Macaca fascicularis: one gene and its partner. The protein of the gene in region 1 purifies or fractionates together with the protein of each later gene. This does not show direct contact. Links are inferred from orthologs where the notes say so. Each region holds a gene or a part of one and is shown on either strand. Other genes may lie near its edges.

What was found. The genes of interacting proteins can lie anywhere in the genome.
Region 2: the proteins of AHDC1 (region 1) and CBX1 purify together in Homo sapiens (affinity purification with mass spectrometry; 4 studies listed by BioGRID and IntAct, with this or other methods). This does not show direct contact. The link is inferred for Macaca fascicularis from reciprocal best matches to the Homo sapiens genes AHDC1 and CBX1.

What each region holds. Positions count from the first base shown.
Region 1 is NC_088375.1:207,521,694-207,525,338, reverse strand, and holds part of AHDC1 (transcription factor Gibbin), read right to left. Parts: coding exon 1,318-3,645; 3' UTR 1,275-1,317; intron 1-1,274. UniProt on the Homo sapiens protein: Transcription factor required for the proper patterning of the epidermis, which plays a key role in early epithelial morphogenesis. Directly binds promoter and enhancer regions and acts by maintaining local enhancer-promoter chromatin architecture.
Region 2 is NC_088390.1:58,617,998-58,621,717, reverse strand, and holds the start of CBX1 (chromobox protein homolog 1), read right to left. Parts: upstream 2,882-3,720; 5' UTR 2,710-2,881; exon of another isoform or gene 2,668-2,709; intron 785-2,667; 5' UTR 667-784; intron 1-666. UniProt on the Homo sapiens protein: Component of heterochromatin. Recognizes and binds histone H3 tails methylated at 'Lys-9', leading to epigenetic repression. Interaction with lamin B receptor (LBR) can contribute to the association of the heterochromatin with the inner nuclear membrane.

The sequences.
Region 1 (3,645 bases):
TCTGGCAGAGAGCGGGCAACAAGTTTCCACTGACATGACTTCAGGACCCTGAGTCACCCTGGCCTTGAATGGCCTCCCAGAGCACGGATGGGACTTTCCAGGAGCCCAGCTACTCCTCCAGGAAGAGAAACTCCCAGGAAGCTTCAGTGGCAGCAAAGGTGAAGGGTGAGGGGCGCAGGCATGCCCCCAGCCTGCCCTGCCACCCACTACCACATCTGGGACAACTTTGTGACAGATCTATTGTCCAAAAGCGGGGCCAGTGGCGGCTGTATTTCTGGAGCAGGCTGTTCTTCAAGATGGCTCCTTCCACCTTGTTCTCTTTGATCATTTTGGGGGCATTTTTCTGTATTTTATTTTCCTTTTTTAAAACACCCAATCTTGAGAATACTAAAACTGACTCCAACTAATGAGGTCACAGTACCTGATAAAAACAGTATCGAAACATTTAACACTCTTTAACTGTACTCTCAGAAAAGCCTTTGGCTTCAGGAAAGGGACTGGCTTTTCTAGGGTCAAAATACCTTGCCTGAAGATAGTCTCACTGGTTGCAGGTTTGCAGGGACAGTGGGATCCCAGCACCCCTTCTCCACTTCTGGGTTCCTACCCCATATGCTCCTGGCCACACCTAGCCTATCTCAGGCCAAAGATGTTGGAAAATAGCCTTTGGGGGTACCTTGAGAGGTCAAGGGAAGACACTTTGGGCCATCCTGTGAAGCCCTCGCAGAGTGTGTGACCATGCCATACTGGCCACTCTTGGCCTGGCCCTCACCAGGCTGCCTCTTAGAATCGATGAAGTTCCCAGGGAAATGGGGGTGCCAGCAGGGCTGGTGCTCTGGATAGGCCCTGGGTAGACGACCATCCAACCTGCTCCTCCCTTCACCTGTCTCACACAGGGCAATGTAAATGCCCGCTCTTATCAGTGTATTTCCTGGGAAATACTTCCTATCCAAGACATAGCACGAACAAAGAACTGAAAGCTTGATGAACCAAACTACGGGGACCCATCCAGTGTATAGTCCTCTGGCCATTTCAATTAACAAGACCCCCTGAAAGTCCAAGCCCCTTGCCGAGTTCCCAGCCCAAGTACCCCATCTCCTTCTGAGGCTGTCCGCAACAGCGAATCCTCAGTCCCTATGCCCTGCTGTCGGTCCCCAGCCTTGCCCTTAAATCCTGCATCTGCTTCCTGCACTCCATACTTCTGTCCTTGACTAAGCTCTGATGTCCTCTCCCCACCCCCAGGCTTCTGCCCACTGCGCCCACATCCCCAGACTCACCCAGGAACAAAACCTCGCGGTCCAGTCGGCACTTCAGTTGGCACTACAGGGACGTGACGGTGAATGTGTCCTCAGGGTGAGGTTCCGCCATGGGCCCCAGGAAGCCGCTCTTGGGGCCCCCTCCCAGGCCAGGATGCGCCTGGGGCATAAAGCCTGGGTACCTGTAGGCGGTGTCCTGCAGGGGCAGCAGCGAGTCCCTCGGCACGGGGGACAGGGTCAAGTCACTAAGGAGTGGGCAGCCATAGCCAGCAGCGGCTGCAGCAGGGCCACGGGGTGGGCCAGGGGGCCGGGCCATTTCCAGTGGCTCCTTGTCGGCCTTGGGCGTGGCTGGTGGGCTAGCCAGGTGAGGGGCACTGAGGCACGCGGCCTCCGTCCTGCCCAGGAAGTCAGCCAGCAGCCCTGTACCCACCTTGCCTTCATAGGGCGGGCTGCGGGCAGCCGAGCCTGGAGGGTACCAATATGCTGTGCCCTTGCAGCTGGGGGAATCGTAGTGGGCCTGGCCCAGTGGCAGGTCCCGGCAGCTCAGGTGGGCCTGGGCTGCAGCTGCGTGGCCCAGGCTGGCCCCCTGGAGCCCATGCTTGAGGGGCTCGCAGGCAGCCAGCTTGGTGGGCGGTGGCCGCAGCTCTTCCTTGAAGCCCAGTGTAGGCGAGCAGGTGGGCGAGTATGCCTTCTGCAGGCCGGTGTCGAACACCGTGGGCGGGTGGGCCAGCGGTGGGAAATGCTTGCCATCAAGCTCGGGAGCACCCAGGCTGGGCGAGTCGCAGTGGAAGCCTTGGCCGAAGGTGCCATCGGAAGGCGTGGACGGGTTCATGGAGTAGGGTCCTATGAAGTCACAGGGGTCTCGCTCTCCCACGCCGAAGGCCCTCGACTGTGAGGGCAGTGGTGACATGCTGCTGTCCCCGCTATAGTAGTCCAGGCCTAGGTCAGGACTGTCCTGGAACAGTGGGTTGACCGGCTGTGGCTTGGGGATGAACTTGGCTTTGGCCGCTGCACCACCCCGCTCCTTCTTGGCTGAGCAGGCCCCACCGCCCCGTCCACCTCGCGGCTGCCGGGGCCCAGTGCTCCGTTTGGATGGGTAGCCTGAGGCAGCGGCAGAGGCGGATGTTGGGAAGCCCAGATGTGAGGCCTCGAATAGGTCCACCTTCTTCCGCCGTCCACGGCCCGGCTTGGAGCTACTCTGAAAGAGGACACTCTGGTTCCAGTTGTAGCCGGGGGCAGATGATGCCTCGTTCCAGTCCATCATCAGTTTCTCCAGGCTGGACAGGCTCGACTGGCCCTCACTACTTGAGGCTTCGCTGTTGGCACGCCGAAACCCGCCGCCACCGACCGGCTGATTGAACTGGGTGCTGTCGGAGGATGACTCGGAGAAGGTCTCCGACACAGCCGTCTGCTGCTTCACCTTCTGTGGTGTGTAGTTGGAGATGTCCAGGATCACGTTGGGCTCACTGACGTGGCAGTCAAAACTGGGATTGTAGAGCTGACTAAAGGCCTCTGAGGCCCAGTCCAGGCCTCCATAGCCCTGCCGGAAAGGCCACTGAGAAGCCCCCGCAAACTGGCGACAGTTCTCGGGCGAGGGCTGGAAGGAGGAAGAGGAGGAGGAGGCGGCAGAGGCTGCAGAGGTGGCAGAGGCTGTGGTGCCCTTGGGCACCATGTAGCCACCAGGCGAGACTGTGCTGGCCCGGCTGTCACAGCGCAGGGGCGTGGGGGCTGAACCAGAGAAGGGGGCCCCCTCAGAGCTGTTGAAGAAGGAGGCCTTGCTTGGTGGCAGGCAGGGGCCCCCGGTAGGCGGTGGGGCATAGCCGGCGCTGTGGGCGCTGCTGGGTGAGGCAGGGAGGCTGTTGCCACTGCCATAGGCAAAGCTGCAGTCCTTGCTGTTAGCGCAGTCCTGGCCTGTAAAGGGCTTAGCCGGGGCAAATACGCTTTGTCCAGCCCCGTAGCCGCCATACTGGGACAGGTAGGTGTTGGCAGGCGGGTGGGTGGTAGGTGAGCGGGCCACGGCTGAGGGCGGGGGAGCCAGCTTGGGGAAGGTCTCGGCTGCCCGGCAGTCTGAAGTGGCCGGAGTTAGCCCATAGCTCGCTGCCCGTCCTGGTGGGAAGGTCTGGCGCGTGGGCAGGACAGGCTGGAAGGAGGTGTCCGCCCCAGCCCCACCACTACCCACTGCCACTGGGCTGGCCTTGGCTCCCCGGCTAGGGAAGGTGGCAAGGCCCCGCTGGGCAGGTAGGGCGCTGGTGGGTGGCCCTGCATAGGTGCCTGATGCCTTCCGGGACTCTGGGCGAGAGGCTGAGAGGGCAAAGTCCAAGAGATCGGAGGAGTCATCCGAATCGAGCAGCGAGCGAAAGTAGCCGGTGAAGAGGTTTTGGCGCTCCTGGCT
Region 2 (3,720 bases), on another chromosome or scaffold:
TAATTTTTTGTATTTTTAGTAGAGACAGGGTTTCACCGTGTTAGCCAGGATGGTCTCGATCTCCTGACCTTGTGATCCACCCGCCTCGGCCTCCCAAAGTGCTGGGATTATAGGTGTGAGCCACCACGCCTGGCCTGCACTTAACCTTTTTTTTTTTTTGAGACGGAGTCTCGCTTGGTAGCCCAGGCTGGAGTGAGTGGCCGGATCTCAGCTCACTGCAAGCTCCGCCTCCCGGGTTCCCGCCATTCTCCTGCCTCAGCCTCCCAAGTAGCTGGGACTACAGGCGCCCGCCACCTCGCCCGGCTAGTTTTTTGTATTTTTAGTAGAGACTAATACAAAAATACAAAAATTTTGTATTTTTAAAAATTTTGTAAAAATACAAAAATTTTGTATTTTTAGTAGAGACGGGGTTTCACCGTGTTAGCCAGGATGGTCTCGATCTCCTGACCTCGTGATCCGCCCGTCTCGGCCTCCCAAAGTGCTGGGATTACAGGCGTGAGCCACTGCGCCCGGCCCACTTAACCTTTAAGAAATGACTCCATCTCCAAGGTGGTGTGTACTTAAAAAATAAATAAATAAATAAATAAACACTTCCAGTCTCGGCAACATAGGGAGCCTCTATCTGTATAAAAATTAAAAAAATTAACCGAGTATGGTGGCACACACCTGTGGTCCCAGCAGCTCCAACGGCTGAGGTGGGAGGATGACTTGAGCCCTGGAGGTTGAGCCTGCAGTAAGCTGTGATCCTGCCACTGCACTCCAGTCTGGGCAACAGAGCAGGAACCTGTCTCAAAAAAACAAAGAAGGCCGGGCGCGGTGGCTCAAGCCTGTAATCCCAGCACTTTGGGAGGCCGAGGCGGGTGGATCACGAGGTCAGGAGATCGAGACCATCCTGGCTAACATGGTGAAACCCCGTCTCTACTAAAAATACAAAAAACTAGCCGGGCGTGGTGGCGGGCGCCTGTAGTCCCAGCTACTCGGAGGCTGAGGCAGGAGAATGGCGTGAACCTGGGAGGCGGAGCTTGCAGTGAGCCGAGATCGCGCCACTGCACTCCAGCCTGGGTGACACAGCGCGAGACTCCGTCTCAAAAAAAAAAAAAAAAAAAAAAAACAAAGAAAAGTTACCATTTGTTGAATTTGGGTAGTATCAAAGAAGAATATTCAAAATTGTTTGAGAAGGCTAAATATACTCTTCCTTTTCTCAACTACATATCTATTTAAGGCTGAATTTTCTTAATGTACCAAAACAACAGAGCACAACAGAGAAAGGGGAAGCACATATGAGAATCCAGCTATCTTCCTTAATTTTTTTTTTTTTTTTTTTTTTTTTTTTTTGAGACGGAGTCTTGCTCTGTCGCCCAGGCTGGAGTGCAGTGGCCGGATCTCGGCTCACTGCAAGCTCCGCCTCCCGGGTTCACGCCATTCTCCTGCCTCAGCCTCCCGAGTAGCTGGGACTACAGGCGCCCGCCACCTCGCCCGGCTAGTTTTTTGTATTTTTTAGTAGAGACGGGGTTTCACCGTGTTAGCCAGGATGGTCTTGATCTCCTGACCTCGTGATCCGCCCGTCTCGGCCTCCCAAAGTGCTGGGATTACAGGCTTGAGCCACCGCGCCCGGCCCAATTTTTTTTTATTTTTATTTTTTTACAATGGAGTCTCCCAGGCTGGAGTGTAATGGCGCAATCTTGGCTCACTGCAACCTCCAACTCCTGGGTTCAAGCAATCCCCCTGCGTCAGTCTCCTGAATAGCTGGGATTACAGGTGCCCATGACTATGCCCAGCTAATTTTTGTAGTTTTAGTAGAGACAGGGTTTCACCGTGTTGGCCAGGCTGGTCTCGAACTCTTGACCTCAGGTAATCCACCCGCCTCCAGCTCCCAAAGCGGTGGGATTACAGGCGTGAGACACCGTGCTCGGCCCCTTTCTTTTCTTCCTTTTAGCTGTTTTTCTTTTTTTCAGACAGGGTCTTGCTCTGCAGAGATCAGGGCTCCCTGCAGCCTCGAACCCCTGGTTCAAGCCTTCCTCCTGCCTCAGCCTCCCTAGTAGCTGGGACTACAGGCACATGCCACCACGCCTGGCTAATTTTTAAATTTTTTTTTGCAGAGACGAGAGTCTCCCTAAATTGGTAGGGCGTGTCTCAAGACTAGCCTCAAACGATCCTCCCGCCTCGGCCTCTCTAATAAGTGTTGGGATTACAGGCGTGAGCCACCGCGCTAGACTTGCTGAAATTATCTTTAAATAAGTTGTTAAAAGACCATCGCAAAAGTCTTCAACACATTGAACGGTTTTCTCTTGCTCCCTAGCTGCATGATGCTGCTTCGAGTTTGTTTTGGTGTGAGCCATCTGAGTCGCCGGACCCTCTCGAGTCTGGCTTTCACTCTGACAATCGGTCAGTGGCTTTACGAATCGGAATCGGAGTCCCCTCGATAGCTCCGCTGGGGAACAACAAACTACGAGGTTCCAATGGTGACTCTCGAGACTTAGTGAGGATCCAGGGATGTGGGCTTCCTAAAGCCCCGAACCTCCCACACTGCAGACGGTACCTCGCATTAAGGGAACAAGAGTAACAACCCCCTCACACCCCTCTGCTCTCGTGACCCACTGGCTGACCGTTGCGGACGCCCCCTGGCCGCTGATTGGCTTCCCCTGACAGTGGGCGGAACGCGGCCCCGGATTGGATATCCGAGCCCATTCGCCGTCCCTCACCCCGCACCTGCGTCCACTCTCTAGCGTCCCAAGTGAGTGGAGGGGGGATCCCGACTCCAGTCCCGGGCCTTGGCAAGCGGAACTGCGCCGTTCGGAAGCGGGAATCCCACTCAGAGCCCGGGCCTGTAAAGGCGGGGCGTCCTGGGCAGCCGGGGTTAGGGCGTCTCCCGTCGTGCACTGGGGCACCGGCGACTCACCCGGAAGGAGAAGCCGTGATCTGGCTATATGGTGGGGCGCGGGCGGTGTCGCTGTGGGGAGCTGGTGCTGTTCTCAGGTGAGAGTGCGTGGGCGGGGCCCCGGGGAGTAGGGGCTGCGCTCAGGTGAGGGGGCGTGGGCTTGAGCGTCAGTAGTGGCACTCGGGATGGTGGCATCGCTTTACATCCTAGGGAGGGACTCTCTTACCACCCGGCATTAAGGCAAGGGCTTGCTGGGGATCCAAAAACCGACTTTTCAGTTTACCTTCAAAGTATATCTTTCACTTCCTACTCCCCAGGCTTAATCGGAAAGGAAGAAGGATCATGTGGACCTTTCGGTCCTAGTTTGTTGCGAATGGAGGAGGAGTGATCGTAGTAAAAGACTGGGGACATTTACTTAAACGGCTAAGACTGGGGGCAATGGCGAGTATTTTACGTGGACACGGGAGACTTGCGGTAGATTGTGGTCGCCGTTGTTAATTACCTTCCAAGTGAAAGGAGTAGGTTAGAGATGGACAAAAAGATGGAGCATAACTGCTTGGTTGAGATCATACAAAGCTTGGTCAGAACTGGGAGCTTCCTCTATCTAGTACGTGTGATATTTATAATTGGAGGGAGAGCTTTTTGAATTGCTATCTGCCATCTGGCACTAAGGGCTCAAGATTGAGTAAGAAGGGACGGTAGTCTCAGTAGTTCCATCTACTTTAATCACCTGATTTTTTTCTTAACCTGTCTCTTGAAGTTGTTTAAATGGGAGAGAAAATAAATGGTGAGACTAAAGCCTTGTATTGTTACTATATTAGAAGCTTTACGATGAATCTACT